4 linked regions of the Caenorhabditis elegans genome follow. The protein of the gene in region 1 interacts with the protein of each later gene in a pairwise test. Each region holds a gene or a part of one and is shown in the gene's direction. Other genes may lie near its edges. The genes, in order: arrd-8, tyr-4, F08D12.4 and chtb-1.

Region 1 (7,297 bases):
CTTTCTCCACGTGTGTTTCTGAAAGGCATTTTGTTTTTTGATGTTCAAAGGGTTTATTTTACAGGTAAGCAGTCTAGTAAAAAAAAGACAAGCTATCGTATTTTTCCGATTAGTGACTATTTATTGAATTATGGTCTTTAGGTAAACGACTATTAAGGGAAGCAAGTAAAAAGTGCTGAAATCAGAAATTCAAAAAATAAAACTCACGTCCTATATGTGCTGCGACTTTCACTCCAATGCGTATGTGCACCTCCGTGAATGCAAATTTTCAGAAACCTCGCTTTGATCCATTCACGATTCTGTATGATTACTTTTCCGGTGACAGCCTGTCCTGGGAAGTATACATCGTTCGGAGCGTCGTACTCAATTCGCAAGTCGTCCATTTCTGGTAATATTCTAATTATTATTAGCTGACATAATTAATAGTATGAGAATTTTTTAAAAATGCGTAGAATTTCAAAATTATAATTTTGACTGAAATTTTCAAGCTGAACATTTTGAAGTTTTTAGAGGGCTAAAAATTTTTTTTGAATTTTCGCCTAGCAAGATCAAACTGAATAAATTGGCTTGGAAACCTGGCATAAAAATGCTTATCGCAATATTTTTGGTCTGTAAATTTTTGATTAAATTTTCTAGGTGGAAAATATTTATAGCGCATTTTGTATAGAATAATATTTTCTGGTTTGACTGAATTATTCTTTGCTATAAAATTTTGGCTGAAAATGTTTTTGGAAGAACTTTACTAGTAAGTTTAGACTGAAAATTCGTAGCGAAAACATTTAATTATTTTTGGCTAAAAACTCCTGAACAAAAGTTTATAATACCAATTTTTCTGGAATTTTTCAAAGCTTATGTTTTCGACGTAATAATCTAACTTTAAACATTAAAAATTACAAAAAAATCAACAGAAAATCATATCGATTCTGAAATATAAAATCACAATCAAAAAGTTGTTTCCAGCACACTGAAATAATTATGAAACTGCTCTCAAGAATACATTAAATTCAATGATAGCACTTATCAGTAGAGCCAGCTTATTTGGTGACTAACAAAAAACGGTGAAAATTCCGTCACTAGGTTTGCGAAATTTTCCAAAATGTGCATGCATTTTGGACACCTAGATAGTATTTGTTTTGAGAGACCTAGGAGGGGGGAAGAACAAATATTGTATGTTGGGATGGTATTTAATGTGTTAGAGACCAAAATCATAAAAACAAGTAGTAAAATGGGATGGAATAGATCAAAATGTAGGAATTTAATTTTTCAATTTATTTTAAGAAATTTATCAACGGATTCGGGGAATTTTGTTCTAAAATTTAAAAAATTGACCGTTAAATTGTTAAAATTTATTATTATTAATATGATTTATTATTATAATTAAGATTGTTAAAATAATTATAGAATTTTTCTAAACTTTTGCAAAGTTTGTCAAAAAATTACACATAGTTGATTCTCTTTTGATTTTTCGTTTTTTTTTTCTCTAAAATTATTTTTTTTTAATTGGAAAAAAACGACAAAAAATCCAATACGTAACATGGCAATCGGCGAAAAATTTTCAATTTTCCTGTAAAAATATTTAGAATGCAATACATTTTCTTCTTTGAAAAATGAAAAAAAAATCATAAAAAATCCAGAACTAAATAAAAATTTAAAACTCATATTTTGAAGAATATCTTGAAGTTAGAGTTGAAATTGAGTAACAAAAATAACTAAAAATTTGAAAAAAAATTTGAGGAAGGAGGCTTTTAATTTTTTCCTAAAATTCCTATTTGAATTTCTCCTAAATCTCCAGCTAGAAGTTATATGCCGTACTTTTTTGCTCTAAAATATAAAATAAATGAAAACGGTTTTGTAGGAACTGTTTCAAATAATTAGAGGAATTTATTAAGCTTACAAAAAAACATTTTGGCCAACTATGAACTATGTTTTGTCGCGTTTAAACGCGACAAATCATTTTTCTCAAAGAGAAAAAAATTTGCTATATTTCAAGTCAGGAAACTTTTTTTCTACTCACAATTAAACATAGCGAACCTAATATAATTTCCAAACTTTTTTTTATGGTGGTGGAATTGAAAAAAAACATTTTTCGGGTTTTTTGAAATGAATTTCGTAGCTACAAAGACGGTCATACATTCATTTGAAAGTACGGAAAATTTGCTATTTTTATAGTCAGGACACTTTTTTTTTGCACGAACATAACCAAAGCAATTTAAACAAAAAAACTATTGACTGTAAATTTTTTGGTTAGTTTTTTAAAATATATTTTGCCTTCTGAATTTGGAGCGAATTCAAAATAAAAATGGAATATCAAAATTTTAGCCAAAATTAGATTTTTCAGGGTATCTTAAATCAAAACCCCGTTAACAATACACTATCTTTAATAACTTTAATAATATATAATCGATAAATTCCAATTCATAGCGAATTTTTAAAAAAAGCACACCGATTTATATTTAATAACCATGTTAACATTAAAAACTTGTGAAGAACCACGTCATCGCATAAAGTATAAATACACAAATAACCCATAAATAGTATATTGTTCTGATTCATGCTCAAAGTTTGCACTGAAAAGAAAAAAAAGACCAATGAAGTACGTTGTCTATGACGTTTTTGCACGTTTTCAGACTTTATCAATTTTCCGGCAAGAAAACATGACGTAAACATGGTGCATGTTTTATAAATAAAAGTTATTAGTTGATAAGAGAATGGAATGAACTGAGTTGTTTCTTTTTTAAGATTTTTTTTCTAGTTTTTATTCGGAACTTATTTATATCAACTAATTGTAAAGAAAAATATTGGATGTAAAGCTGTAATATAGTATAATTTCATGTCAGACTTACAAAAAATGGGAGACACCACATTTCTCATTGAATTCGACCATCCTGCCGCTGTATACTCCCCTGGACAGAATGTAGCAGGGAAGCTAACAATCAGAAATCGAAATGCTTTAAATGCACTGGCTCTGAAAATTTGCATCCATGGAGATATTGAAACGTTGTGGAGGAAATTTGAGAATAAAGGGAGATAGTGAGTTTTGGGGACTATTTAAAATTTCAAAAAATAGTCAAGAAAAACGAGTTTCAGTAAAAAAATTTCTCAGAAAATTCAAGTTTTCGGCCAGAGTTGTTTTTCCAGAAAAATCTGAATTTCTCAATTTGGGGTTAGGCATTTGAAGTGAGCCAATATGTAAGGTTCTGAAATGAAAGTGACGTAGAGGAAGATTACTTACTAATTTATAAGTTCTGATGACATGAAAATACAACTAAAATCGCCAATAGAAGCTTCGTTAAAAAATATATGAAATTATTATTGCCGCTCGTTTTATGGTACATACAAAATTTAAATACTTCCGCCAGATATTCATCTCTCTCCTTTCCAAAACAGTAATCAGATTATCCACTATTTAAAGGTACATTCAAAATTTGCCGAGCTTGGCTAATTGGGCAAATTGGGCAATCTTGCCGTGCTGGGCAAACTCCGAAAAATGAGAACATTTTGATATTTCTAGAAGCGCCAAAACTACTGAATTTTTAGCACAACTTTGAACTCAACTTCATGTTATTTTACTATAATTTTTTGAACAAAATCAACAGTTTTGGCCAAATTTGAAAAAAAAGCCTATTTGTGATGTGTGCGGCAAATTTCAAAATTTGCCGAGCGCGGCGAATTCGGCTGAACCAGTTTTTTGAAATTTGCCGCGCTCCCCTGATTTTAACCACCATATTTCTTTTCAGTGACCGACATGGTCGATGGTATCGTAGCTCTGAACATATCAACTATACTAGCAAGATAAACGTCTTGGAAGGAATCGCCCAGCCATGGAGTTCCATTGAAAACGCGGTTAGTAAATTTGAATACACTTTAATATTTACACACCACATTTAGAACAATAAAATCCCTGGCGGTGTGAACATATTTCCGTTTCTCTTCCAACTTCCTGCAAATCTACCACCGAGTTTTGAAGGGACGCATGGAAATGTTCGATATTCGGTACACGTGGAATTAGATAGGCCATGGAGGATGAATGTTGAAGCGAAGAGGGTGTTTTCTGGTGAGTTGGAAACGATTTTGATACGACCTGAAAAAGAAAAGAAATCATGATTTAATGTGAATATTTTTTGTGTCAAAATATAATATCTCGCAAATCCGCAAATTGTCTTTTTTTGCCGGAAATTTTAAATTTCGGCCAATTGCCGATCTGCCGTTTGCCGGATAACAATTTGCCGGAGAAGACGGAAACTTGAAACTGTGCCTTTTTGAAATTTTCCCCCGTTTTTTAACGATATTCTCATAGAATTCACTGACTTTTAAAAATAGATGTAAGGCTATTCATCGGATGTGTACAATTTTTTCGTTTAAAACTGAAATTCTGAAAGTTCCAGAAAAACTCACAACTATCGGCAAATACAGATTTTCCGGCAAATTGGGCAAATTGTCAATTTGCTATATTTGCCGGAAATTTTCAATTTCGGTAATTGCCAATTCGCTAATTTTGCCGGAAAAATCGTTTGCCGCTGAGCCCTGATTTTAACCCCGTCTGGGCTAAACTGAAGCTTGAAATCATTAGCAATTTATCTATAAAAGCAAATCACATTTAAAATTTAATTTCGAATATTTCAGTGATTCCGGTTATCGATTTAAACTCCATTCCAAAAACAATCAATCCAATGATCGTATCTTCTTGCAAGCATTCTGGATTATTTTCTAACAAAGAGGTTAAAGTTAAGGTAACATAATTTTTTTTATTTCATGCTAATAACAAATAATGACTCAATTAACAAATTAATATTTACAGATCTCCATCCCAAAATCCGGATACATCCCAGGAGAGACCATCCAAGTATCTGCTCTAATTCAAAATCACACGAAGAAGCCTATATATTCTATAAAAGCAAAATTGGAGCAGCACGTGCATTATCAGGCTCAACAAGAGAATTCTCATCTATTTCCAGAAGAACATTGTCATAAACATTGTGAGCATAAAACTGCTCAAACCACAATGTCGAAAGTTGAGAAGAGTTGTCACGTGGAATTTTGCTCAAATAGCCAAATAAATGTGCCACTTGTTCTGCCGAATCAGTTGGTTCCTAGTTTTCGAACAGGAATTATTGAAGTAGACTATTGTATTATTGTGGATATCGGAGAGAATAAGAAATTGAGATGTGAACTTCCGATTACTGTTGGAACAATTCCCATTGGAGTATTCACAAGACCAATTGCCTATTCTATTACGGAAGCTCCTCCTAAATATGAAAACTTCAGTCAAATTGTAGAAGATTCTCAGGCAAGTGCTCCACCGCCGGAATATGAAAATGAAGAACATTTTTAACATTTTTTCGTGTGTGTATATCGAATTCTCATTTTCAGTAAATTAAATTTTTAATTTGCCGGTTTAATTACATCAGTGTAGTGCCGGCGGATTTGCTTCATGACTGCTAAGTGAGCAGATGTGCATGTGCATTCTTTTGTTCTCTATGTCTCTGCGTACATCCGCTTCTCGCACAACGTCTCCCGTAGTTCATCGATTGCTTTAAGTATTTCATAGTAATGTATTTTCCGTTTTGAAACGTTTAATGCAATGAATGAATTTGAATTTGAGTGCTCAGTATTTCCAATTTTAGAATAAAAAAAAAGCATTTTATTTGTCCTAAGTGATAACTTGTATAAAACAATTTTGTTTCGAATACTTTCAGACAAATCCAAATTTTAATGCAACTGTATTATAAATTTTTTTGAAAAGCATTAGCTGCACGCTTCTTATTAAGACTAATTTGAAACAACTTTTCAGATGTCCTTTTTGAGAAATTTAACTTTAAAAAATCTGTTGCCTTCTGTTGGGGATTGAATTAATTTCTTTAGAATGATGTCATCAAAGTTGACTAAAGACGAAATTGAGAAGAAAATTGCTGAGCTTCAAGAATTACTTCGGGTAAGTTTTTTGAGGTTAAATATTACAAAAGACGAGAAAAATTATCTGGCGTGTGTAACGTTTTAGAAACGGGCATGAGTAAATATTCCAAGAAGTAAAAAAAATTCCTTTGAAGGATTATATTTTAAATTAATTTTTTTGGAGTATTTCGTACGTGCCTTGTATAGTTTTTTTGGTATGGCTTAGCAAAACATAATAATACAAATCCAACAAATAGACTATTTCGGAAAATGGAAATGAGGTTAACATATTTAGCTTTTGAAGAAAGAATTTCTTTATTTAGTTTTTCAAGAATACTTATTCCCGGTGCAAGAAACACTTAACTTTGTGGGTATAAAAACTAGGCTAAAAATAATGATAATTTTTTCAACTTCAGACTGGTAATTATGAAACTAATAATGGACCTGAAAGATTGAAAACAATTGACATAGAAGTCGGAGAAGTAACAGAAGGAGTCAGGAAACTCAATGTAGAATGGAATGAAGATAATGAGTGAGTCAGAGTTTCTGGCAATTTCTTTTGGAAGCTGCCAGAAAAAATAGCGAAATTACAATTTGCCAGAACTGTAGCCGTTGCCTTTTTGCCGAGAATTTGTATTTTCGGCATTTGTCAAGTTGGTATTTGTGTTGTAGACCTGCTCCAAACATATTAACCATATTAGGCCTACCTACTACTAGGAGTAATGTTTTTCTACCTAAAGCAAAAAAAAGTAGTAAGCGAAAATTCAAGCTTCGATTGAATTATCATTTCAAAAAGAAATAAATGGAAAACGTATTGTAATCGCTGAACAAACTCCAAAAAATTTGATACTTTTTGATGTTTTTTGGTGCACCAAAACTACTAAATTCTAAACAAAAATCTGGTTTCTGAATAAGTTCCGTGTAGTGTGTCTGTTTAAGCATCAAAATAACTCAATTTTGTGCCATCTTACTAAATTTTTTTGCGACAGTATAAATAATTTTGATCAAAATTGTATTGCCAAATTTTTTGCAGGTTGCTGTTTGCTTGTCAAAAATGTATGAGTGCCTTTCACGCTGAATCGGATTTATCGAATCACGAACAACTAACCCATTTCAACAGAAACATTCCAAGAAAAAAGTTTGTTTACCGCTCTGATTTGAGCAATTTCATAGCTCAGAATAAAACGAATCGCATAACACTATTTTCAGGTTTAAGTATTATTGTGATAAATGCAATGAACGATTTATTTATGAGCATTTATTGTATAGGCATAAAGAAGAACACTTGCATACTGGCATAATTCCTGGCGTTGCCCTCATAGATGAATTGCGAAAAAAACACAAGATGACAAAAAGGTAACAGAAGTTATGCAGTTAGACTTTCAAATTTAACCTATATGATTTG
Region 2 (8,555 bases), on another chromosome or scaffold:
CAATTGTTGGAAGAAGCTGGAAAAGTAGCTTCACAGGCTGTTGAACACATTCGAACAGTTCATAGTTTAAATCGTCAGGAACAATTTCATTTCACATACTGTGAATATCTTCGGGAACCATTCAATACTAATCTGAAACATGCACATACATATGGAGCTGTATTTGCATTCTCTCAATCTCTTATTTTCTTCATGTATGCTGCTGCATTCTATCTTGGAAGTATTTTTGTAAATCAACAAGCTATGCAACCAATTGATGTCTATCGAGTATTCTTTGCTATTTCATTCTGTGGACAAATGATTGGAAATACTACATCTTTTATTCCTGATGTCGTAAAAGCTCGTCTTGCTGCTTCTCTTTTGTTCTATCTTATTGAACATCCAACACCTATTGATTCTCTATCTGATAGTGGAATTGTGAAGCCGATAACTGGAAATATTTCAATCAGAAATGTATTTTTCAATTATCCAACAAGAAAGGATACCAAGGTTTTACAAGGATTCACTCTTGATGTAGGTTTTAATTTGATACCTGACTTCTATATGACAGTAGTGCAATCCTAGGGTAAAAAGCAATAAGCCTTGACTTTTAAAAACTGGATATGGATTTTTTTTGCGTTTTTGTATCGAATGTTTATGCACTTGCCCTCTGACTTTTTTACTGAAATTTTAAAAATAGGAAAAAAAAAAAAGACAATGATCCTACAATTCTTAACCCACCTGTAAAAACAAATATTAATATATTTATTTTAGATCAAAGCCGGTAAAACTGTTGCACTTGTCGGGCACTCAGGATGTGGAAAATCTACAATTATGGGACTGCTGGAGAGATTCTATAATCAAGATAAAGGAATGATTGTGAGTCAATTTTCTTTCTGATTGGTTTTAACTGCAAACAATTTTAGATGATTGATGGTGATAACATCCGTAACCTAAACATCAGTTCACTTCGCGAACAAGTATGTATTGTAAGTCAAGAGCCAACGTTGTTTGATTGCACAATTGGAGAAAATATTTGCTACGGAACAAATCGAAATGTTACATATCAAGAAATTGTTGAAGCTGCCAAAATGGCAAATATTCACAATTTCATTCTAGGATTGCCAGATGTAGGGTGATATTTTCATAAATCAGAACTCATTCTAAAAATTTCAGGGTTATGATACTCATGTCGGAGAGAAAGGAACTCAACTTTCGGGTGGTCAAAAACAAAGAATTGCCATTGCACGGGCACTTGTTCGATCTCCTTCTGTTTTACTTTTGGATGAAGCAACTAGTGCATTAGATACGGAAAGTGAAAAGGTTTGTATGAAAAATATTGAAATAGCAAATTGACTTTGAAGAATATCGTTTTATTCACTGTTTACAGATTGTACAAGAAGCATTGGACGCCGCAAAACAAGGTCGCACGTGTCTTGTCATTGCTCATCGGTTGAGCACAATTCAAAATAGTGACGTCATTGCGATCGTCAGTGAGGGTAAAATTGTGGAAAAGGGAACACATGACGAGTTGATAAGGAAGAGTGAAATATATCAGAAATTCTGTGAAACGCAGAGGATTGTCGAAAGTCAATAATTTAAATATGTATTAGATTCTCAAACACGAGTTTACAAACTAATTTGCATGGAGTTTCATTTTTTTAATGTTCAATTGAAACAGCTTGATATTTAAAATTTAAATATGCTCATCAAGTAAAATTTTTAGAAAATTTTGTAAACCCGTAATAATTTTTTTGTCATCTAGGTACTTTGCTTTTTCCCCAAATAGCCTTTCCCTCCATCTTGTGTATTTTGTGTGAAATTCTTTGAATTGTGATAATTATCTTTGAATTGTGATAATTGTCTTTTTGTTTTCTTTTTTAAATATATTATTTACCATTTTCACTGCATAAATATTTTTATTTGAAAAAAAACTACTCATCATTCAATATGTAGAATCTAAAATAGGATTTCTTTAGACTATTATATTTTTAATTTAACTTTTTTACTGTAGTTTCATTACACCTATTTCAATTTAAGATCAATGAAACATCCAATCTAAATTTGACGAAGATTGATAAAAGAATCTCTAGAAGATCAAAAATTGGAAATGCTGTGAAAAATTGTAAGGCTGAACAAAATACACGCTCTTTGAATTGGAGGGCATTCGAAGGAAAGTGCTACAGTGTTTGAAAATTTATTTTAAAAGCAATAATAGACCATAAAAATCGAAGGTAACATTGTTTTCATCGACGACTTCCAAACAAGTGGCAAAAAGTGAGATTTTTCCAATTTTCAAAAATTCATATAAACTTTAGAATTTTTTTTTGAATGTTATCACTATTATTTTTTATTAAGTTACAGGAGTTTGATATGAAGTCACGACGTTTTGCTAATAGTAAGAAGGCAAGTGATGAGAAAAGTGAGAAGTGCCTTTCACGACTCAACCGTATGAAATGTATTAATCGGCCCCATAGAAAATATATTTCTCTAAAAATACAATAACATTTTTAATTTAAAAATAACGTGTAACATGTGTTCTACGTGTTCTACAAAAAATATCTGATAGTCATCATCCAGAAAAAAAAATTTCCTTCATCTCAATCCACATCACAATCATTAATTGTTATTTCTGATCAGCTCTCTTCTGGTTGAAAAAGTGAGTTTACTCTTTAGAAACGTGCGATTTCAGACAGCTTGAAATTGGCTTGATGCTCTGCTTAATGTTTTGTTTCAACAAAACAATTGATTTCTTTCGGCAAATCGGAAGTCACATATTTTTGCTGCTTAACAACTGATATCAACGGACCATTTTCAGACTTTCGATTCATCGAAGTAAAACAAAGAAATGACGACTGGAAAGAGTAAAAACACGAAGAAAGACTGTGCTGACAAGAAGAAAACTTCGAAAACGAAGAAGAAGACTTCAAATTTGTCGGTTTCAAGATCCCAAACTTCTGTGGATATGAATGAGAAGGACAAGGCAAAGGAGGCAAAGGAGTTGAAAGAGAAGAAGGCAAAAGAAGAAGCCGAGAAGAAGGTTGTTGCCACACCGAAGAAAGATGCCTCGAAGGATCATGCAAAGAAGGAGGATGATCCTAATAAGGTAACAGTTACGATTTTGAAGTTGATTAGGAAAACACACTGCTAAAAATTTCTTTTGGAAAAAGTTGAGAATATGAACAATTTCAGCAAAACGAGCCAAGTGGAATGGATGTTCTTGTGAAGGAGGACGGCAAGAAGACAAAGATGGACGATGGATACGAGGATTTTGGTCCAGGAGCTGGTGCTGCTCAATGAGCAACTGTCCGAGAAACTGAATCGAAAGGGAACAATTCAATATTGTATTGTAATAAAAGTTTTTTTAAAGTTCGGTGTTTGTGGTTGCAAGTATCTGATTTTGAAGCAAGACATTACACGGGGCCACCCGCCAGGGCTGTTCAGCAACCGGGAATTGTAAGAACAAATGTTGCATTAAAAATCTGCTGGAAGGGCACGAGGAAGAGTAGTGAAAAATACTTGTGAAATATTGTTCGCCACTTGCAAAATGCATCCAAAATATTCGCTAAGTATTTTACAAACGGCATGCGCAGTCTCATTTGGTTTTCAGTTTTTTCCCAAGTGTTTCAGAAAGAGAACACCAGGTCAGTTCCTCGTCCAATTCTTTGTCATTCGGAAATTAATGACATCATCAACTTCTTATCACTATTATCAAAAGAAGAAAAAGAGATCAGCGAATTTCACAGAAAACAACGAAAAATAAAAAAGAAGAGATGAAGGTAAAAGACAAAAAACTGTTACAAAAAAATGAAAAAGGGACGGAGAATCGCCTCGTCTTCATTTTAACTTCATCAGTTTGCCCTGAATCGAACCAGTAATTTTCAAATGTTTTTTGGGTTTAGTTGTCAATTAAATTGACAAAAAATTGACTAGTTTTCTTCTTTCTGATATTATTTCGATGTTTCTCTACTTCACTAACCACCAAAAATGTTCCAATGGAATCTAGAAAATACCATCAAAATTAAAAGTTGAACAAACTTTTCAATAATTTTTTAAAAGTCTTTTCAGAACTGTTGAAATTTGAGCAATTCATTTTATTTTTATTTTTTCCCGAAAATCCTAATGATATTGTTTTTGATTTTTGATTTTATATTTTAGTTTGGGTTTGGTATATATTTGAAAATATAAAATCATACAAAAATTCCTCGTCTTCTACTTTAAATTTATGTAAGAAAAAGGTTCTCCATTTTTCTTGATTTTCAGGTTTCTACGCCTTGAACCATGAGGTTTTTGATACCCATAATCTTTACAACATTACCATTATGTTTACAAGCACAAGAAGATCCATGTGCAAGTGCTCCATCAGAAGCAGCAAAAATTATGTGCAAGCAGATTCACAGATGGGATGATGGAGCAAGGGTTAGTGTTATATTTTTGAAGTGTTTCTATTTGTTTTATTACTTTAATCAGTAAAAATGTGACCATTTGGTTGCATATTTTTATCATCCAGCTAACTCAAAGCACTGTCTTTTTGAATTTTCATTTTCAACTAATCCTGCCTGCTGAGGTTGCTTAGGTTGCCTGTTTTGTGCCTTCTGCTAGAGAACAATTCAACATATTCTTCATCTTTCTGTTGAACTTACAACAGCTAAATTAGAATTAGGCAACGTAGTTAACTTTGATACACAAAAAATATATGTCAGTTAGGCAGGTATGCAGGCAAGCATGAAGCATAAATGTACGCCTGAATACGTGCTTTCCTTATTTTTTGTTCTTTTGATACCACATTAAATTTTCTGGGCAAACAGGCGAATCATGATAATGAAATAACTACAATTGTGATGCGGTCAAGGACATGTTGGTCAGAAACAAGACGGTCAAAGATCTCAAATATTGCAGGCGGCATCAAAGAAAAAGAAAATTGCATTACCACCAGGAATGGCAAAGGGAATGGCAGCTGAGTTTGCTCCAATTGCTTCAAATATCTACCAGTGCATGGATTTACCCTGCTTGTGTTCTTATTTGAGAGGTAAAACTGGAAAATTAGAAAATGAAGAAATGCTTTAAAAATAGGTGTATTAGAAATGTATTTAAACGAAAACCGGTTGCAAGTCTATTAGAAGCTAGCGTTCCCGGGAATACACTACATATATCGATTTATAGGAACTGCGTCTGGAAACGGTTGTACTCTTCCAAATGGAAGGCCACTTCAAAAATCAGTGAGAAAAGAGTACCGTACTCTCACAGATGATGAACGAAATAGACTTCACGCAGCATTCCGTGCTCTCAAAAATGTTAGTTCAAACTTTAAAACTCTAAGTTCTACATTCAATTGCAGAATGGTGAATACGAAAGAATTGGAAGAATTCACTCACAAATGTCTGCTGCCGGAGGAGCTCATTCTGGACCAGCATTCCTTCCGTGGCATCGTGAATTTGTGAAACGTGTCGAGTTTGCTCTACGCCAAGTTGATCCAACGGTTAATCTTCCATATTGGGATTCTACGTTGGATAGTAGACTGCCACGTCCTGCAGATACTATTATGTTCAGGTAGGTTTTAAATCATTAATAGAATTTGTATAAATTTAAAGAAAATTAACGCATAATACTCACTTTTCTATTTTTAGTGACTATCTTATGGGAAGTACCGGACTTGTTAATGATGGACCCTTCACAAATTGGCGAACTTTGGCTGGAAGAGCCCAAATACTGAGAGCCGTCGGAGCACAAGGAGCTCCACTTTCACAAAATGATATTGATTTTGTAATGAGACAGACACAAATTGATCAAGTATTATCGTTTACTGCACCACAACAAGGATGCCCATATAGAACTGATTTCAATTGTCTTGAATATACTCATGGAAATGTTCACATTTTTGTTGGAGGAGATATGTTCGACACTGCAACTTCTTCAAATGATCCTTCATTTTTCCTTCATCATGCATTTATTGATTTTGTATGGGAAGAATGGAGATTGGCAAGACAATCAAGAGCTGATCGGGAAATTGCATTCCCTCCTGATAATCAATTATGTGCTTCTGCACAACATTTTGGAGCATCTCCAATGCAGCCGTTCAGTCCAATGAGGTAAAGAAACTGTGAATTGATTACAGGGAAATGTAATTATTTTCAGAAATATCGATGGTTTATCCAATAAATATACAGATAACTTGTATAGTTATGCACCACGGCCAACATGTCAAGCTGGAGGCGATTGCGGTTCTAAGTGAGACTTTTTTGAAAATTATCAGAATAACCTAGGAAATGTTACGCAAATATTTGAAAAATTACAGCTATGCTATTTTTTGGCAGGGTTTAATTTTTTTAGAATCAAAAACTTTCAAGATAAAAAATTCATGTGAAACTTGAAAGATTGTCGTACAAGATATAAGATCATTTTTGATGATACATTTTCACACACTAAAAATTTGGAATATTCTTGATGTCTACCGTGGAAGACTTACTGGAATTTGTAAATTTCAGATTCCTTTTCTGTGACACTTCCACCGGGGCCGCCCGTTGTGTATCTCGTATTCGTCCAGGATCTCAATGTGGTCAATTCCGTGTGAATCCATGTTTCTCAGGAATCTGCCAAAACGGTGTATGTGTTCTCTCATCAACAGCTCCACGTCCAACACCTGCTCCAACAACTCCAACACCTCAAAATCCAGTACAATCTCAAGAATCATGTTTCAATGAGAATCAGTGTTGTGCATCATGGGCAGCATCTGGGGAATGTTCGAGGAATACGGCTTATATGAATGAATGGTGTAAGGCCAGTTGTGGTGTTTGTAAACCCAAATATCGACTGGCTGATGGTGAGTGTATTTTGTATTTTAGGATTTTTTAATTAAAAAATATTTAAATTACCACAAGGGTTTTTTCGGTAAAATTCTTTTTAAAAAGTTTGCTATTGTAATTTGGCAATTTCAGAAAATTAAAGGTACATGGGGTTATTTGAAAGGGTCCCACCGGGAAAAAGTTTATGGTATCTTTATTAGATTTTTCCGGCGCCGTTCATGTTTAGAAAGATAAAATTGAAAAATATAAACTCTCACATAAATGAAACAAATAAAAACTGACCAAAAATAATAAAAGTTCCTCCAAGCCCCATAAAAACCAAATAAACCCATGCACCTCTAAGTTCGTGTATCGAAAAACTGCAAAATTACGATAATTTTCCAGATTGCACTGATCGTCATACCCAATGCAGTAGCTGGTCCCGCTCCGGTGAATGCACCAAAAATCAACTCTGGATGACTGAAAATTGCCGTAAAAGTTGTAATAAATGTGGTAGATCACGTGCTCAAGAGTGTGGAGGAGGTGGTACTACAGTAACCACGACGACACCTGCTCCAGCTCAACAGTGTGATAATTCTGATGGTTGTTTCAATGAGAATGTTTGCTGTGCTGTATGGGGATTAATGGGAGAATGCCGAAAAAATACAAGATATATGGCATGTAATTGTCGAGTTTCATGTGGACATTGCTATCCTGAAGATTACAATTATGGATGTAAGCTTTATTTTTAAAAAAATATTTTTATAATTAAAAAATATATATTTCAGCATGCGTCGACTACCATAGATCATGTGCCGGATGGGCTCGTGTCGGTGAATGTCAGAAAAATCCATGGATGGCTGAGAATTGTAGATCAAGCTGTAACAGTTGCTATACTCAATCAGAGCTTCGTAGAATGTGTGGAACTACAGCTGGATCAGTTGCTCCAGTTGCACAAGTTCGTCAGACTAATCCATCTCGTCAACCACCACGTGGAGGTTGGGGACGTGACGATTTCGGAGATAATGGAGGATGGGGTGGAAATGGAGGTGGTGGATGGGGAAACAATGATCCATGGGGAGGATCAAGATGGGGTGGTGGAAGAGGTGGATGGGGTGGAGGTGGATGGGGAGGCGGTGGATGGGGTAAACGATCCATTCGAGCAGCCAATGCATCAATTTCAATGCCATCTTTTGATCCGGACCTCTTGTAATTTTTGTTACCTTTTCTCAATTTATCCGATTATTTTCGTGTATAATAAATATTTGCCTCAAACTCAATAAAGAATTCATTTTTATCTTATCGAGAACTCGAGGAAGCAAAAGACTATACAGAAACGGGTGGCGAATCGAGAAAAATAAGTTAGAAGTGATCACAATATCAATGGAACTAGTTACAGATTCAAGGAGGAAAAGGTGATATTCACAACAAATCAAAAAGTTAATATTGTTGAGGCTGTGAAGACGGAGCAGGCCATTGTTGTTGCTGTTGTTGAGGTTGGGGAACAGAATTCGGTGGGCATGCGTACTGTGGTTGTGCTCCAGGAGCCGGATAGTGTTGTGGAGGATATTGTTGTGGCTGCTGTTGTTGGACAGGACCGGTAGGTGGGTAATATGCTCGGTTTGGCTGAAAAATACGATTTTTTGAATTGATAGGCATTACCGTGAAGCTTAGAATGAAAAATTTCAGTTTTCTAAATATTTTTTTCTGAATAAAAACTGACTGGTTGCTGATAGTTGTACTGTTGCATTGGTTGTTGGTACATTCCTTGACTTTGATGCTGAAATCCTCCCT
Region 3 (5,828 bases), 9.3 Mb from region 1:
GACGTATCCATGGAGCTGCAGTCTTTTGCAGATACGTCTGGCTATTATTCTTTGAACCAATTTGCAAAATGTTACATTTCCTCATATTCTGCCTGCAACCTCCCTTATCCGGCACGGAGCAGATCCATATGACACTGTTCCCAGGTTCTCTGAGCAACAGGACTGAATGTGTGAAGACAGAGACGAATGGTACGATAGCATGTGCATGGCTATGCGGGAAGGATAGGCGGTGTCAGGTAGGACATGATTTTGAGACTTTATATACAGTGTCGGCCAATATTCTATTCGTTTTTGTTTTTACTGTGATTTGCTTGAGTTGTTCAAACACGTATAACTTAAAAACTATAACAGTTTGCAAAATATTTTCAACTAACAAAATGTGGCTGCTAACTTTTTCTACATTCTTAATATTGCCAAAATCCCATCACTTTGTCACGAAAAAAGTTATAGCAACTGACATCCGGCGGGACTGTATTTTGACTAAAACTGCTAAGTGACCCACAACTCTGAAAGCCGTTTTCATAAAACAAAGTTTAATAAGAAAATAATTATTACAAATTTTTCTACATTTCGCAATTTGTTGTTCTGTCACAAAGTCCCCAGGAAAAATTATACAGAAGATTAAACGTGCATAACGAAAGTCAGATTTAACAAAAAATTTTCATAATGCAATCAATATTTTTTTCGGATCAGATTCTGAGTTAAAAAACAATTTAAACATGTTGCAAACGTTTATTATGCGGGTTTTCGTTACAAAAATTGTTATTTAAAGCAATTTAGCATGACTTAAAATTTAGAAATTTGAGCATCATGTTCAACCTTCTGTAGTTTTTCCTGGTCAGTTTGTGACAGAACAACAAATTGCAAAATGTAGAAAAATTTGTAATAATTATTTTCTTATTAAACTTTGTTTTATGAAAACGGCTAGTTTCAGAGTTGTGAGTCACTTAGCAATTTTAGTCAAAATACAGTCCCGCCGGATGTCAGCTGCTATAACTTTTTTCGTGACAAAGTGATGGGATTTTGACAATATTGTGAATGCAGAAAAAGTTAGCAGCAACATTTTGTTAGTTGAAAATATTTTGCAAACTGTTATAGTTTTTGAGTTAGACGTGTTTGAACAACTCAAGCAAATTTCCGAAAACCCGAAAACGAATAGAATATTGGCCGGCACTGTATGTATGTGTAAAGTTATTTGTGATAGATAGCGCACTGGAAAGTTCGTGTTTGCTATGTGAGTATGGAGCTGTTAGAGAGATTGCAAGAGGGAGCTCCGGTGGCTTGATAGCTTGGAAGGTATGTCTATGTCGAAACCCCAAACCGGTCAAAATCTGTAGCGCACCGTTCAGAAGCTTGATTTGATGGGGTTGGGAGGTAAGAGGCAGGATAGGTGTTGGTTGCCTCAACCTGAAACGGTGAAACGATTCGTAGTTGCGCTCTACTAAGCTTTGACTGGCTCAACAGGTAAAGCGGTAGCGGCCTGAAGGATGCCAAAAAGCTTAAGTTTTGCCGCTCCTGCTTATCTGTAACATAGAACCTACAAGAGACTGATTGTAGCAAAAGTTTAGCCACTTACCAAGTTCGCAAGGTAAGGTAAGCAAGCTAAGCAGTTCGATAGTCCGCGATTATGATACCTTATAGTCATGGTCATAGACTTCTGGCCATGTTAAACAATGCTCATTTACAGAGATCCGTGCCTAACACCGACCTGAGCCAGCCTATCACTTCATGCCCAGCTTCCACAGTGACACTTCCAACCTGTGAAGTTGGGTGGAAGCTGTTCCCACGCTACGATACTTATTTGTGTCTAACGGTAGATCATTTCAGTTTTTGAAACCTTCTCACAACCCATATTCCAGCTAGGCATCAATCGAAAGGAACGTGACGGATACTTATTACAGTTTGATCAAATTTCCAGTTATGTTGCTTGCAGATGGGATGGATCGAAGTTCATAGATGGTATATTAAGTGGGCTGGAGAGCGATGAGGAGAGAGCTTACGCGTCGGGTAAGGCTCCTTAAGTCCCTTGATCTTGTAAAATTTTCAATGTACAAGTTTCAGACCGAGCTTATCAAATAATGCTACAGAACATGAACGAGACATTGTTCGAATTCCCATCAAGTGAGCGACTGGGCTGGGGTGTGTGGTCAGGCGTTCCAAATAACACATAACATGAACAAAACACCATCAGGGAGTGTAGCGCGTTTTTGGGGTGTATGGATTGACGGGATGTTAGATGTTGGGAAAGTATGTTCTTTCGTCCGTTGAGCAGCTAATGTTTAGCTTTAGAAAATCAAGTACACGGATACCACACTCAACTTGAAACGTGGATACAGGTGGGCCAAAAACTATCCACTTTGGGATTACTTACCATCTCGACCATGCATTCAGCTGGTTGTAACGACCGATCGAACTTTAGAAATTAATGGAACTCTCGTAAACTCTAAGTATGCACTATATTTTAAATTAGGAAGGAACCGTTGTTTTTGTTTTCAGCTGCGGCGGAGTATATATTGTTTACAACAAACTGGTCGTTTGCGGAAAGAAGCCTATTTATTGAAATTGGCTCAGCTCAGGCTACTGGTCTTTTCACATTTATTGCTTACAATTGGATAGCTTGGAAAGTATTTGTTAACAATAGTCAATAAAATTCTTAATGGCATTATCTGAAATATATTCTGGTTAAAATTCTAGATTGTGAAAACTGTTAAGAACGAGCTGAAAAACTAAGAACCTGGTGGACTTTGTCAAATGATTGAACATATTGGAAGAGCTGGATCAAAAGTTAATTGAACTATTCCATTTTACAGATCCTACATTTGGTGAAATATCTACAAATTATCGTAAAGTAAAGAATTCCTATTTCCATGGAAATGAAGAAAGAATCTGGCTTAATGCTTTTTACCAGGCGTACTTTTTAATGTTTCTTAGTTTTTATTGGTGAGCTTTTTGAGAGGATATTCACTTTGCCAGCCTCAACATGCACAAGCTGCTGTACTGTTTTATTCTCTCTATAAAGCTTATTGTGCGTAACTCCCTATCAGACATCCAAATGACTCTGCTCCGTGGAACTGTGCGCACAAAAACTAGTTGTCAGCTGGTTTCAGCTATTGGAACTCAAAATTGTACAGTGTGGGAAGGATATGAGGTGTCAGGTAGGATATTACTTTTTAACTACATATATGTAACCCTATTTGTATAAGATAGCATACTGGATAACTAAAAAAGGTCCGTGCTTCAATTGTGAATATGGAGCTGTTGCAGAAATTACACCAGGCAATTCGAATACTAGTTACATTACGTGGAAGGTACATATGTTGCCGTTGAACTTCTACGTACGTAGTTTATGTCCTTTTCTTTTCAGAGATCCGTGCCAAACACCAACCTGAGCCAACCTATCACCTCCTGCCCAGCTTCTACTGTGAAATTTCCCACCTGTAAAGTTGGGTGGAAGCTTTTCCCACGTTACAATACTTATTGGTGTCTCACGGTAATTTATGTTAGTTCTCGAAACCTTCTGATACATATATTCCAGCTAGGCATCAATCGAAGGGAACGTGACGGATACTTGCTACAGTTTGATCAAAGTTTCAGTTATGTTGCTTGCAGATGGGATGGATCGGAGTTCATCGATGGTAGAATAAGTGGGCTGGAGAGCAATGAGGAGAGAGCTTACGCGACGGGTAAGCCCCCTTAAGCCGCCGTTTTTGTTAAGTTTCCAGTGAACTAGTTTCAGACCGAGCTTATCAAATAATGAAGCAAAACATGCGCGAGACATTGTTCGTATTCCCATCAAATGTGCGACTGGGCTGGGGTGTGTGGGTTGATGGAGTGAAAGATGTGGCAGGTGTAAGTCCCTACCGATGTTCTCGTCAGACGTTTGAGACTTCCAGCAAGTCAAGTACAGTGACACCACGCTCAACTTAAAACTCGGATACAAATGGGATATCGGGCAGCCAAATTGGGTCTCACGAAAGCAGGCATGCGTTATGTTAATGGTTCCGGTAAACCAGAGTAGTAGGAGCAATGGAAGTCTGAGAACTGCAGAGTATGTAAGATTGTAAAAACTTTGGCAATTCAAATAAAAATTAAAAGTTTCCAGCTGCGGTCTATATAGGACGTACCTCCCCAAGTTGGCTGTTTGCGGAAAAATGCCGAATTATTAGACTTTGGTTTGGCAGCTTATTTTGAATAAATAATTTAATTTTTGAATGCTGAACTATTTTATTATATAACTAAAAGTTTTATATTCAAATCTCCCCTCTCTTTATTACCATAAATCAACAGTTTTGAGTTTGCACACCTTTAAACAAACTACTTTAAATTCAAAATAATTCAAAAATGGTTTAAAATGCCAGCAGGATAAGCCAAAACTCCTAAATTTCGAGAATGTCCCGAACCTTTCTGACTATCTTCTTCTGTTCAGCAGTGGCTCCAGGTGAGCATTGTTCTTCAACTTTTTGTGAAAATCAGGATGAAGCCTTATTCAGGAGCAACCTCCTCAGCTTCCACCTGCAAATCTCCAACTGGGCCTGCTATTGGAGGTGCCTGTGCTGCTGGCCAGGTTGTCATTCAGGACTACTGCTGTTGGGAGGATGATGTCTACAGTAGGATCGGTTTTGAGATTACAACATTTCTATTGAAAAATTATTTAGAGCTTCCCGCTGAGAGCTGCAAAAACGCATTTGGTCCGGCTATAATGGGATACTGCTCGGACGGGCAAGTTGTCGTAGGAGATATTTGTTGCGAAGCTCAGGATGTATACGGTAGGGCACTTGACATTCCAGCTTCCAGGGAATCCCTGTTTCAGATTCATCCACCGCGACTTGTCAGGAAGGTAAATCTGTCGGGCCGGCGGGCGCTGGAGGATCCTGTCCTCAAGGGGCCTCTATTACCAAGGGAAGTGTCTGCTGCTGGAACGAAGGGATTCAAGGTGAGGTTTATTATCTGACTGAGAAATTTTTCAGTCTTAGTCCTAACCTATACCTTTTCTCAATTCTAGACGCCCCCGCTTCCGCCTGCAAGTCCTCTGCTAGTCCAGCAATTCTTGGAATCTGCCCATCCGGACAAGTACTCATCGGAAATTATTGTTGTGAAGCTAAAGATGTGTACGGTAGGTTAGTTAAGATTGAAACTTTTGGAGAGAATGATTTCCAGACCCATCCACCGCTACTTGTCAGAGGGGTTACGAAGCTGGACCGTATGGCACCGGCTTAACCTGCCCGGAAGGTACCTCTCCCACAACAAAGGAAGCCGTCTGCTGCTATTTCGACGGAATTCAAGGTGTGATTTGGTTAACTAGGAGAGTTGTGAATTTATTTCACGTTCCTTTGGTTTCAGTTCTTTCCGCCTGCAAGTCCTCTGCTGGTCCAGCAGTTTTCGGAAGCTGCCCACCGGGTCAAGTAGTTGTAGGAAGCGATTGTTGTGAAGCTAAGGATGTGTACGGTAGGGAAGCTTTCCAGGAAAAATCGAAAAAATTTTAAAAATATAAATTTCCAGATCCCTCTACCGCTACCTGCCAGAAAAATGAAGATGTTGGACCAGCTGCCGTCGACGGAGCCTGTCCAGCAGGAACTTCTCTTACCAAGGGAAGTGTCTGCTGCTGGAACGAAGGAATTCATTTTTAATTTTAATGTTTTTTTGCGATTACCAGAATAAACTATTTCAGTGAATAATTAATTTGAAAGTTTCATTCAGAAAAGCCTCGAATTTCCTGAAAAATCACCTCTTCTCATAGTCAGCACCCTTCTCCAGATGCTTGTTCAGCTGATTATCATTGATTGCTTCCTCCTCGTCGTCTTTTCCACACGGAGTCCACCAATCGTCGC
Region 4 (9,914 bases), on another chromosome or scaffold:
TAAAATCTTTTGCAAAAAAAAACCTTTACAATGTTAGAGAAAAAATCTGTAGATATATTTCTCATATCTTAATAAATCTGACCCCCACCCTCCATTCCTTTCCCTATGATAAGTTTGATGTTTGACTACTGATTTGCACTTTATCGTGACCAACCGGCACTGTATCAGAAAAACAGCAAAAAAGTGAGCGCGTTCGCTTTGTCTACGAGCATCCTAAAAACAATGATCATTTGAGATTGAACACATTTCGATGTGACTGTGGAGTCGCTCAGTTTCTAGTAAAGCTTCCATGAAGAGACAGGCGCGGTTTCAGGGTCTGGAACCTGTCTGAACTATTCTCTGGCATGACATGAAATTCCTGGTGTTTGCACCACGTGCAATAGTTGGTTCTTTCAAGGCAACCTACACTTTTCGGGTCCCAAGCAAAGCAGGAGGCTCGCGGTTTCAGGCAGGCGCGGCTATTGTTTTGGTGCCTGCGTTAACATAGTTTCTAGCAACGCACTTTGAAGCTGGAACATAAGTTTAATATCTTGGTCGGCTTTTACTTTGAATAAAAGTTGTCAACCGATAAAATCTCTGTTGTCTATAAGTCTCTATAAGTTTCTAATCATAAAGTTTCAAGGTTTGTTCAGAAAAATCGGAAATTGATATTATGTAGATATTATCTTTTGATTTCAAAGTAACATGTTTTAGGGAAATACCACTTTGTAAACATAACATGAACATACTTATCACTCGACCGCCTGGCCGAGCCTGGTATCCGCCGCGGTTTTTTTTGTCAAATTCGGGGTCCCGTCTTGTCGTGAGATGAAGGAGACACAACCCGCCGCCGCCCTTGTGATCTTTTTCCTACGAACACAAACCCAAATTCCTCAACACTATTTCTCTCCCACCACCAGCAGCACCAAAATCTGATAAAAAATGACAAGTTTTGTCGTAGAGACTCCGCGAGGACAACAAACAGTGGCACGAGCAATCTCTTTCGTGATATAGTGTTGCAAAAAGATGCGCTTGACAGCTTGTCTACGCCATGATGTTTTTTTTTGCTTCCGTGTCTTTTCTAGGTGCGAAAAAAGAACAAAAAAGAAGACAAGTCTCTCCGGATTCGGAAGATGGTTTTGAATGAAAAGTGAGATTTCATTCAATTACATATGAATATGGCCAGTTACGCAAGGAACGAACTGGATGCCATCGAGAAATTAAATGGTCTTGTACTTTTGCAAAAAGAGACCGGTAAAGAAATTAGCAATGATATGCATGGAAATTATTTTCCATTTCTTTTTAATGTACGCTGGAAGTTTTAAAAACAACATTATCTTATTATCAGTTGAGCGAAAAACGCTAAAACATAAGTTACCGAATTTGCATTAACTCAATTGAATTTTTACAGTTACTTATCAAAAGCGGCTTAAATTTTTGGCTTCATCAATAGCACGGAAATTTCAAAATCGGAATGCGCTGCCAACGGATAATCCAAAAACAAAAATCGTTGTGAAGCAGTAATAGATTCAAATTAAAAGGCTTGAAATTAAAAAAAACTGAGAATAAATTTTCACAGTCCATAATATATTAGCTGCCCTGTCCAGTTCAAATTGCCTGACCAACATCGCATCGTATTTGACTAGAGGTGTCTCACTAATTGCGTGCATTGCGCACTTAGAATAATGGAGTTTTGAATTACACGAGATCTTACAAAAATGCGCGTTGTTTTTTATGTCCGGGAATTTGGATTTGGAGGGTCTCAATTTCACTTAAAAGTGGCAATGACTACAAGTGGCAGAACAGTTAAATTACAATGACTCGGTCGAATCGAAACCGAATGTGCACTTTGCAACAGTATACGAGTCGCGGTGGGCGCTTGGTGCTCGATTTTTGTTGGAAATGTGTGCATCGCGCGTCCTTCAATGTTATGGAAATATGCAGTAGTTCCGGAAAACATCATATCATTTTGAAACATTAGCTACATATTATTCGATACATGGATGGTGGATGTTTTAAGTCTTCAAAACTATATGTTTTCAAGAACAGATGTCAAGACTACTGTAGACTACTGTACTGTACTGTAAGACTACTGTAGGTCAATCACTTCCATCATAATCATAAAATTCTTGTGAAATCAACTATAAAATTACGCCACCCTCATCATCACTTCCGATTATTTGTCCTCTTTCATCCGTGCCCGGAATTCGTCCGCGCTGGTCAAGTTGAACTCGTCGACTCTTTTCTTGCCAAGAAGTTGCTCAACCCCCAAAAAACTTGATCCAGTGTTTCCTGGCGGCGGTTTTACCTCATCTGAGACGCCTTAGTGTTGCTCCCCCAAATAACCCTAAAAAAGGAAACAATAGTACTTTTTCGCAAGAGAGACCGCGACCTCGCGCGCGCCTTCTATTCTCGTGCTCATAAGCGCCGAGCTTCTATTTTCGGCCGACTTGATGTAGAAAGAGACAGAGAAAGAGTACTGACCTCTCTCCGTCTTCGCCACCTTCTCAAGCGTCGTGTGCGAATCTCCGCACCGGTACAGTATACGCGGAGAGGAGAAGAGACGAAAGATAGAAACGAAGAAGACGGAGAGGGCGGCGCGTTTCGCATACAAACCTCCCCAACCCCTCGGAAGCTTCCTATCCTCTAGCTCTCACCCTACCTGCTTCATTCGTTCTCTACCTCACCATCGGAGAGAAGACACATTTCACATCTTAACCCCCACCCACAATACCATTATTTTCAAATTCCGTCTTCTTGTTGCTCCGTTGTCTCCTCCCCTTATCTCCCACCCCATCACAGCCTTTTATCACTTTATCAGTGTTCAAATTTTCCAGCGTGGCAATTGTTGTCGAGTCCACCAAAAGAAGAAGAAGAAGATAGCAGCTTTGTTTTCCATCTGAATCGACCACCTTCTTCCATTTATCATATAATCACAAAGCAGTATACACATAATGCTGCGCAATCTCATTTTAATCACCCTCCTCGGTAAGCTTTCTTTCAAATTTTATATAATACATTCTAGATTCTGTTTATTTTTGAAAAATGTTAGCTCTAAAATTAAATACTCTCTCTTGAAAATCTATATTTTTCCATATATTTTCAGAGGCAAAAAAGTTTCTGAATAGTCTAAATTTGATCTTGAATTTAAATGGGTTTATACATAAAACTTATCAAACTTATTCCATCTTATAGTTTACTATTCAACTACTAGATTGCAAGAATTTGTCTGAAAATCTAGGCCTGAAATATCACTGTATTTTGAGAATTTAAATAATAATAATTTCCCATTCATTTTTCTTATCATTTCTCAAACCAATTTTAATTTACAGTCGCTTCTGGACATGGACAGACGCCTGTAATTGGCGGAACGTGTAAACTTGGAACTGCTGATGTTCAAATTGGAGGAAAACAGACACAGTTTTTCCTCAAGTGCGAGACGACAGCTGAGTGAGTTTCATTCAACCAAAACAACTGAAAATCTTTCATTCTTTTAGTAGTGCCGAAGGTGAAGGTGTCTGGGTTGTGAAGTCGAGAGCCGCCGCCGCTCCTTCATCAGTACCATCTGTTCCAGCTGAAAATACACAGCCACAACAACATCCAAAAGCTCGTAAACCAGCTTCCCCGAACATTTGTGGTGAGTTTCTTAGACTTCTTATTCTTCTTCATCACCAACATTTATTCCTCTATTTTAAATCGGTGGAAGCTCTTAAGTCAACTAATGAGCGAGCCCACTTCTGACCGCAAATAAACATCAACCACAGTGGTCAACAATAAGTTGAAATGAACTGTTACGAGCGATAAGGTATCTAGGAAATTGTAGAAGAAAGAAAAGTAGAAAAAAGTGGAAGTCCGACATCTCCAAGCCATATTTGCTTATGCTTCTGACAGTGTTTCTTGTGTATTTGTGTGTTTACATTTAATTCTTTTCCTTTTCCTCTCACTCAATTCAATTCATTCCAAAAAATAAAACACACACATACAAACACACAAACATCACAAATAGTGTGTAGATATTTTGCCAACGAATTCCAAAACTAGATTCACTACATTTCTTGTGACCAAATTTCATCATCTTTTCGAGGAAATTCGAGGAAAATGCGCCACTTTTGTCTGGGATCCTTTGTTTCACAATTCCATTATTTGACCACTCTAATGAACGCAAATGACCTAAATCCTCTTGATGGGAATGAAGAAAAAAACGCAACTTGCGGTGTCTTGCAATTCCTGCTTGCTCCGCCGGCTTTTGTCCACCACTCACTTGCGCACAGTGCGTTGAGAGTCGCCGGCGCGTGACCAAGAGGGGGTTCAACAAATAGGTCAGAAGGTTGATAAGAGAGTGTTGGAGGAAGGGATACGCAGCTCGCAGAGCTCACCAGTCGCCGCCGCGACCTACCGAGGAAAAGTGTTTTGTTTTTAAGAACCCCAGCGAGAAAAGACAGAAGGGATAACTTAATGAGATCGGGGATTTGGTTTAAAACTGAAATTTCATCTTATTATTCTAAATCGATCAATAAAATATTTTCAGAACAAGACAATGGAGCCCGCGAGAGCGAGGTCTGTGCCGTTTCAGCCACCTGTCTTCAGGCTCATAACGACTTCCCATCTTCCTACCTTCAATGTGACCAAACGTAGGAAACCGTTGCATAATAAAAAACAAAATGTTCAATTCCAGCACTCTCCGATGGGTCCGCAAGTCGTGCCAAGAGAACTTCTTGTTCAACTTTGAGCAACAAACTTGTATCGTTCCAAAGAGAATGAGCTCTCTCTCCCGTAAGTTGTTTTTATGATTAACCACATATTATTTCACTAATTGCTTAAACAGCATCAACATCTTCCCCATCTAACACTGAAAATCCCTGCTCGAAATGCCCACTGGGATCAGCTTGCCGCAATGGTAACTGTATCCCTTTAACAACTTCAAGTAGGTTCTAATCACACTTTTCCCGCCTATGATCTCTAACTTTCCATTAGATTTGTGTTCTGATGGTTCTCCTCCTAATAATACATGTACTCGGGATCCGTACTCTTGTCCCAAGGGACATTTTTGTACCGCACAAAAAGTGTGTTGCCCTTCAACTGCATTGCAATCATCAATTGGATGTTCGACGGTCTGCACAATCGATGAATCGTGTCCAAAAGGAATGACATGCCAGAATAACTGCTGTGAAGAAAGAAAACTACTACGACATCCAAAAGTATATCGATATGCAACTGTAGAGGCAACAAATACAATATTTGAAGTGGATAATGATATTTTTGATAGTGCTGCAATCGAATCACTCCCAACTCAAAAACCGCAGCGACTAGATGAAATTATGGCTCCAGGAATCACACCAACTCCGACAAGAACCACTGAACCTCCAAAACTTCGATGTTTGAGTAGTAACACGGACGAGGTCAATTCATTAGGTGCGTTCACTTTTCTTCCTTCCTTTTCTCATCTGTTTGTGGTCACTTTAAAGTATTTCGGAAAGAGCGCTCTCCGTTTCCACCACTGTTTACAAAGTAAATAGGAGCCTAATGAGAAGCACGCGCATTAGCTAACCACCTCATTTCATCAACTGTACTTTTATAGGCGGAGCATCATCATCATCTGCAACATGTGGAGGAACAAATGCGAATTGTACTTCTGATGAAGATTGTCCAACAACCTTCAAATGTTATCAAGGTTGTTGTAAATTGGCTGTATGTCCGAGAAGTCTAACAGCCGTCAAATTCACATGTAAAACTCAATATCACTGTAGAGCAAATGAACATTGCTTTTTTGGAGGATGCTGCCCAAAAACTATCGAATTAGCTGTGATAAAATCACAAGTTTTGACAATGAGCAAAGACAACGAGCACACCAAAGAGACAGAAAAACTGATAATTGGAGACTGTGAAGTGGATACCAGAGTTAAAAAATGTGATATCGATATTATATGCCCAGAGATGTCAGAATGTGTAGATGGAATATGCTGTAAGCAACCACCAAAGGCACGATGTGGAAATGGATTGATGGCTCTTTCGATTCCAGTTCATTGTTCTCTATCAGATGATTGTCCAATTGCTTCTAGATGTGAATATGGGAAATGTTGTCCGTTCCTCTCAGAATCTGCGGATTCCACTTCCGATAGTGTCGGAGAAACCACGCCTGTAATTATAAAAGAAGAAATAATCTCAACAGCAACAAAAGTTTGGAAGAAAGTTGACAAAACCAGTGGTGTATCGATTAACAAAAATGTAAGTTTCTACTCGAGGTGGTAAAATATTCAATGTTATTTTTTAGAAATGTTTATCCACGCAAAGATGTGATTTACATACTCTGTGCCCTCCCGATTTCACTTGCTCACTGTCGGGCAAATGCTGCAAACTGAACATTCATTGCCCAGACGGGACGGTTCCTGAAACTTCATGTCAGTCTGCTAGTAATCATGATCACTGCCCATCATCATCTCACAAATGTACTTTACTCAATAAGGAACATTTTGCATGCTGTTATAGTCCTGGTAAGAAACATGGCATCCCAAACTTAATTGAACTAATGATTTCCAGGACTTGTCGTCGAAGGAAGTGTAACAGCTGAGGTTTCCTCAGAATGCCCCATAGGATCTGTTGAAGTTGATCCAAGATTCGGAACTTCCTGCCGATACAGTTTGCAGTGTCCATCTCCCTATTTCTGTAATCAACGGGGTAGATGCTGTCAATTAGCTAATACCTAAAAGGTGAGGTTCAAAGAAAATGAACTTAATTCAAACTTTATGTATTTCAGATCCAGATACAATGCTTCAATCCCAATCTCTTTGACAAACACGTGTACACCGACATATTCAATTAAATAACATAACTAACCACATTAAACCTTCGCATGAATACTTACTTCTAACATTCTTCATTATGAAAATCCATACTCCAATAATCTCAATTTACATTTGTAATATTTATGTACAGGTCAACAAGCCAGCGGACTCGTGTGCACATTCTCTAGCTGCTCCAACTCCAACCCATGCTCCGTCGGAACTTGCAACAACGGATACTGTTGCTCCAGTGGATCCAACTCTGGCTCAGCTATTATTGGTAAGTATTTTCAATCATTTTTGATCACTTCCCACAACCAGCACACTTCCATAATTCAGATTCTGACACCAACAGCACAACTAACCCGTCACAACCAGAAACCACAAAAACCAAAAATAATACGAAAAAGTCTAACTCTAGTAAAAAGCACAGAAAACCCAAAAAGAAAGACGTGGATCCCCTCTCTGATCCACTTCTTCAAAATGATTTTCCAATCGGACCTCCTGGCTATGGGTTCCCTGAACATTTATCCAACTTGGATGAAGTTCTGATAAGAGCTCAAGGAGATGGTGGTGAGCACCTTCTAACATCACTTGCACCTTCCAGATGTCTTTTACAGTTTCTTGTGCCGGAGGTTTCCAGTCTTCCTTGATCTGCTCTGTTGGTTCAGAATGTCCAGCTGGATTGCACTGTGATACCGCTATTAACCTCTGCTGTCCGCTTTTACTACCACTCACTGATCCTAAGAACCCAAAAAAGAGAAAAACGAAGAGAAGAAAGCAAAAACAAGATGAAAATGAGATGGAAGCTTCAGCAAACTTCCCAGATTCAGATCCTGCACGATTTTCGTCTTACTCATGTGGATGCAGTAATAAAACATTTTTCTAACAAATTGTATGTACAGTCAGATATTTATATTTAACTTTTCAGTGGGCGGAGGATCCAGCAACTGCGTCGGATGCCAGAATGCCCCACAAATCATCACTATCCGTGAGTACTCTGAAAATTTGAACGCTGAACTTATTTCTGATATTTCAGCACAAAACTCATGCCCAGGAGGTGGATACTCTGTCGGAGGATGCAGCTCTGGATATTGTGCCACTGGATACAGTTGCATCCAAAACCAATGCTGCCCATCATACAACTCTGCTCCAAGAATCTCTGTCTGTAAGTTTTATAGTTTATCGATATAGGTATTTATTCAAATGAATCTTATTCTAGACACCTGCCCATCTGGAGGAAACGCTGTTGGAGCCTGCATGTCTGGAAGATGCGCTAGTGGATACACCTGTAGCAACAACGTTTGCTGCCCACAGACCACCACCACTAACCCATTCGGTAATTTTTAATGTAGACTTTACATTCTAATCTTCGAACTTTCCAGTCTGCCCTGATGGAACCCAAGCTGCTGGAGGATGTGTGAACGGACAATGCGGAACTGGATACACTTGCTCCAATGGACTTTGCTGCGCCGGAACATCAACCACTGTCAAATGTCTTGACGGATCTGACGCCGTCGGAGCTTGCATTCCATCATGCACCGGAGATGGATGCGGAGGAGTTCAAGTCTCATACTATTGCGGATCTGGATACACTTGCACCACCGGAAACATTTGCTGCCCCATCAACAGTTGTCCAAATGGAGGAGAAGTTCTCGGCCCAACCATCAATGGACTTTGCCCAACTGGATACACCGTTCAAGGAAACCTTTGCTGCTCTGCCACCTGTACTGATGGATCAACTGGTCTTCCCTCTGTCAACGGAGTTTGTATCGACGGATACTCCCTTACCAACGGAGTCTGCTGCCCAGCAAGTGTCACCTGTACCGATGAGATTTCCATTGGCCCATGCACAGGAACTGGATTCAACGGAGGATGCCCAGCCGGATACGCTTGCGATTCCAACCAAGTTAACTGCTGCCCAGTTGTCAGATATACTGATGAGTCATGCCAAGTCGGACCAGCTATTGATGGACTCTGCCCACCAGGATACGTCGTTGTCTACATTCCAAACAGTCCACTCATCACCAACGGCGTCAATCCAGGAACTTGTATCGATCTTCAGTGTAGTAAGTTATTCAATCAAAATTATATGAACAGTTTTGAACATTATATGATTTCACCTTCATTAATTATGAAAACTTTAGCCACCGGACTTTGCCTCACTGCTAATCAAATCGGAGACTGCGACACAGCAACAGACGCCGGAACCTGCCCAACTGGATACACTTGCTTCACGAACGCCGGAATCTGTTGTTCTACCACTACTTTCAGCCGTCTTCGTATTGGTAACTCTCGACAAATGGCTCAAAAGCCAAACTATGGACGTCCACTTCACAGTTATATGCCTCGTAAGTATGCCTTGTTTTTCTGATCAACGTGTGGCGTGAATTTCTTACTTTGAAAAAAATCTCCCTGGTATCCTCCCTTTTCCACCTCTTCTTCTTCAGCTCGCTTCGGCGGACCATCCTCTTCGTGCTCTGATGGTTCACTCTCATCCGGTCCGTGCATGAACGGTCTTTGTGGAATTGGACTCGAGTGTCAGAATGGCAAATGTTGCTCTCCATCATCGAACAAGCCAGCCGGACTTCTTCAAAGTACTAGTTTGCATGCATCTTCCCCACTGAATCTTTCTCATCTTCCCCTTTACAGGCAAATGTCCATCCGGTGACACCGCCGTCTCCGGATGCTTCCCAAATGGATCATGTGGAACTGGATATGAATGTGTTTCTTCATTAAATCTCTGCTGTCCACCAGGTCAACCACAGACATTCCCATCATTCCCGGGTAACAACAATGGTTTCAACATCAACAACAACAATCGATTCGGATCATTGTCGATGTGTAAGTTTCGTGAAATTTAAAAAATCACGAAGACACATCATCTTCTCTTATAGCGCCGCGACCCATCGGCGCCCGTTGTCAGCTTGACGGCGAGTGCGTCGGACAAGCCGAGGGGCTTTCAATGTGCCACGCTGGAGTTTGCCAGTGCTCTCCGATCGCCTACACGCAAGGAATCGCATGCGTTAGACGAAAGTGTAAGGAATCGCATGTTGAATTCTATCCAGCTCGTCAACTGGCAAATCTGTCCCCTTTTGCATGCTCTATATAGACTTCTAGTCCTTAACAAGCCGATCCATAGCTTCACCATTTTCC

Evidence for each region.
Region 2: the proteins of arrd-8 (region 1) and tyr-4 interact in a two-hybrid assay, tested with the Caenorhabditis elegans proteins (one large-scale study listed by BioGRID).
Region 3: the proteins of arrd-8 (region 1) and F08D12.4 interact in a two-hybrid assay, tested with the Caenorhabditis elegans proteins (one large-scale study listed by BioGRID).
Region 4: the proteins of arrd-8 (region 1) and chtb-1 interact in a two-hybrid assay, tested with the Caenorhabditis elegans proteins (one large-scale study listed by BioGRID).

What each region holds. Positions count from the first base shown.
Region 1 is NC_003280.10:12,062,237-12,069,533, forward strand, and holds arrd-8 (Arrestin C-terminal-like domain-containing protein), read left to right. Parts: upstream 1-2,848; coding exon 2,849-3,030; intron 3,031-3,737; coding exon 3,738-3,843; intron 3,844-3,888; coding exon 3,889-4,054; intron 4,055-4,623; coding exon 4,624-4,730; intron 4,731-4,798; coding exon 4,799-5,332; 3' UTR 5,333-5,402; downstream 5,403-7,297. Other genes in the region: arrd-7 (Arrestin C-terminal-like domain-containing protein), read right to left, coding at 1-18, 208-383; Y17G7B.22 (C2H2-type domain-containing protein), read left to right, coding at 5,867-5,932, 6,309-6,424, 6,926-7,030, 7,102-7,248.
Region 2 is NC_003279.8:5,894,061-5,902,615, forward strand, and holds tyr-4 (ShKT domain-containing protein), read left to right. Parts: upstream 1-4,242; 5' UTR 4,243-4,260; coding exon 4,261-4,398; intron 4,399-4,878; coding exon 4,879-5,008; intron 5,009-5,142; coding exon 5,143-5,273; intron 5,274-5,317; coding exon 5,318-5,529; intron 5,530-5,606; coding exon 5,607-6,068; intron 6,069-6,114; coding exon 6,115-6,207; intron 6,208-6,464; coding exon 6,465-6,799; intron 6,800-7,166; coding exon 7,167-7,496; intron 7,497-7,549; coding exon 7,550-7,974; 3' UTR 7,975-8,055; downstream 8,056-8,555. Other genes in the region: pgp-2 (ABC-type xenobiotic transporter), read left to right, coding at 1-513, 754-858, 906-1,109, 1,156-1,302, 1,370-1,576; C34G6.3 (Non-histone chromosomal protein HMG-14), read left to right, coding at 2,828-3,085, 3,172-3,279; stam-1 (Signal transducing adapter molecule 1), read right to left, coding at 8,202-8,387, 8,485-8,555.
Region 3 is NC_003280.10:2,775,166-2,780,993, forward strand, and holds F08D12.4 (CW domain-containing protein), read left to right. Parts: upstream 1-2,980; coding exon 2,981-3,155; intron 3,156-3,264; coding exon 3,265-3,308; intron 3,309-3,364; coding exon 3,365-3,490; intron 3,491-3,535; coding exon 3,536-3,683; intron 3,684-3,736; coding exon 3,737-3,849; intron 3,850-3,893; coding exon 3,894-4,052; intron 4,053-4,102; coding exon 4,103-4,117; downstream 4,118-5,828. Other genes in the region: F08D12.3 (CC domain-containing protein), read left to right, coding at 4,390-4,438, 4,491-4,607, 4,656-4,766, 4,811-4,933, 5,003-5,113, 5,158-5,283, 5,341-5,445, 5,500-5,627.
Region 4 is NC_003281.10:9,348,365-9,358,278, reverse strand, and holds the start of chtb-1 (Chitin binding domain (ChtBD2) containing chtb-1), read left to right. Parts: upstream 1-2,933; coding exon 2,934-2,967; intron 2,968-3,311; coding exon 3,312-3,429; intron 3,430-3,476; coding exon 3,477-3,616; intron 3,617-3,879; exon of another isoform or gene 3,880-4,059; intron 4,060-4,507; coding exon 4,508-4,610; intron 4,611-4,654; coding exon 4,655-4,752; intron 4,753-4,804; coding exon 4,805-4,903; intron 4,904-4,953; coding exon 4,954-5,391; intron 5,392-5,557; coding exon 5,558-6,204; intron 6,205-6,250; coding exon 6,251-6,470; intron 6,471-6,516; coding exon 6,517-6,654; intron 6,655-6,912; coding exon 6,913-7,038; intron 7,039-7,097; coding exon 7,098-7,331; intron 7,332-7,378; coding exon 7,379-7,627; intron 7,628-7,689; coding exon 7,690-7,749; intron 7,750-7,797; coding exon 7,798-7,926; intron 7,927-7,980; coding exon 7,981-8,097; intron 8,098-8,143; coding exon 8,144-8,827; intron 8,828-8,905; coding exon 8,906-9,109; intron 9,110-9,208; coding exon 9,209-9,355; and 6 more.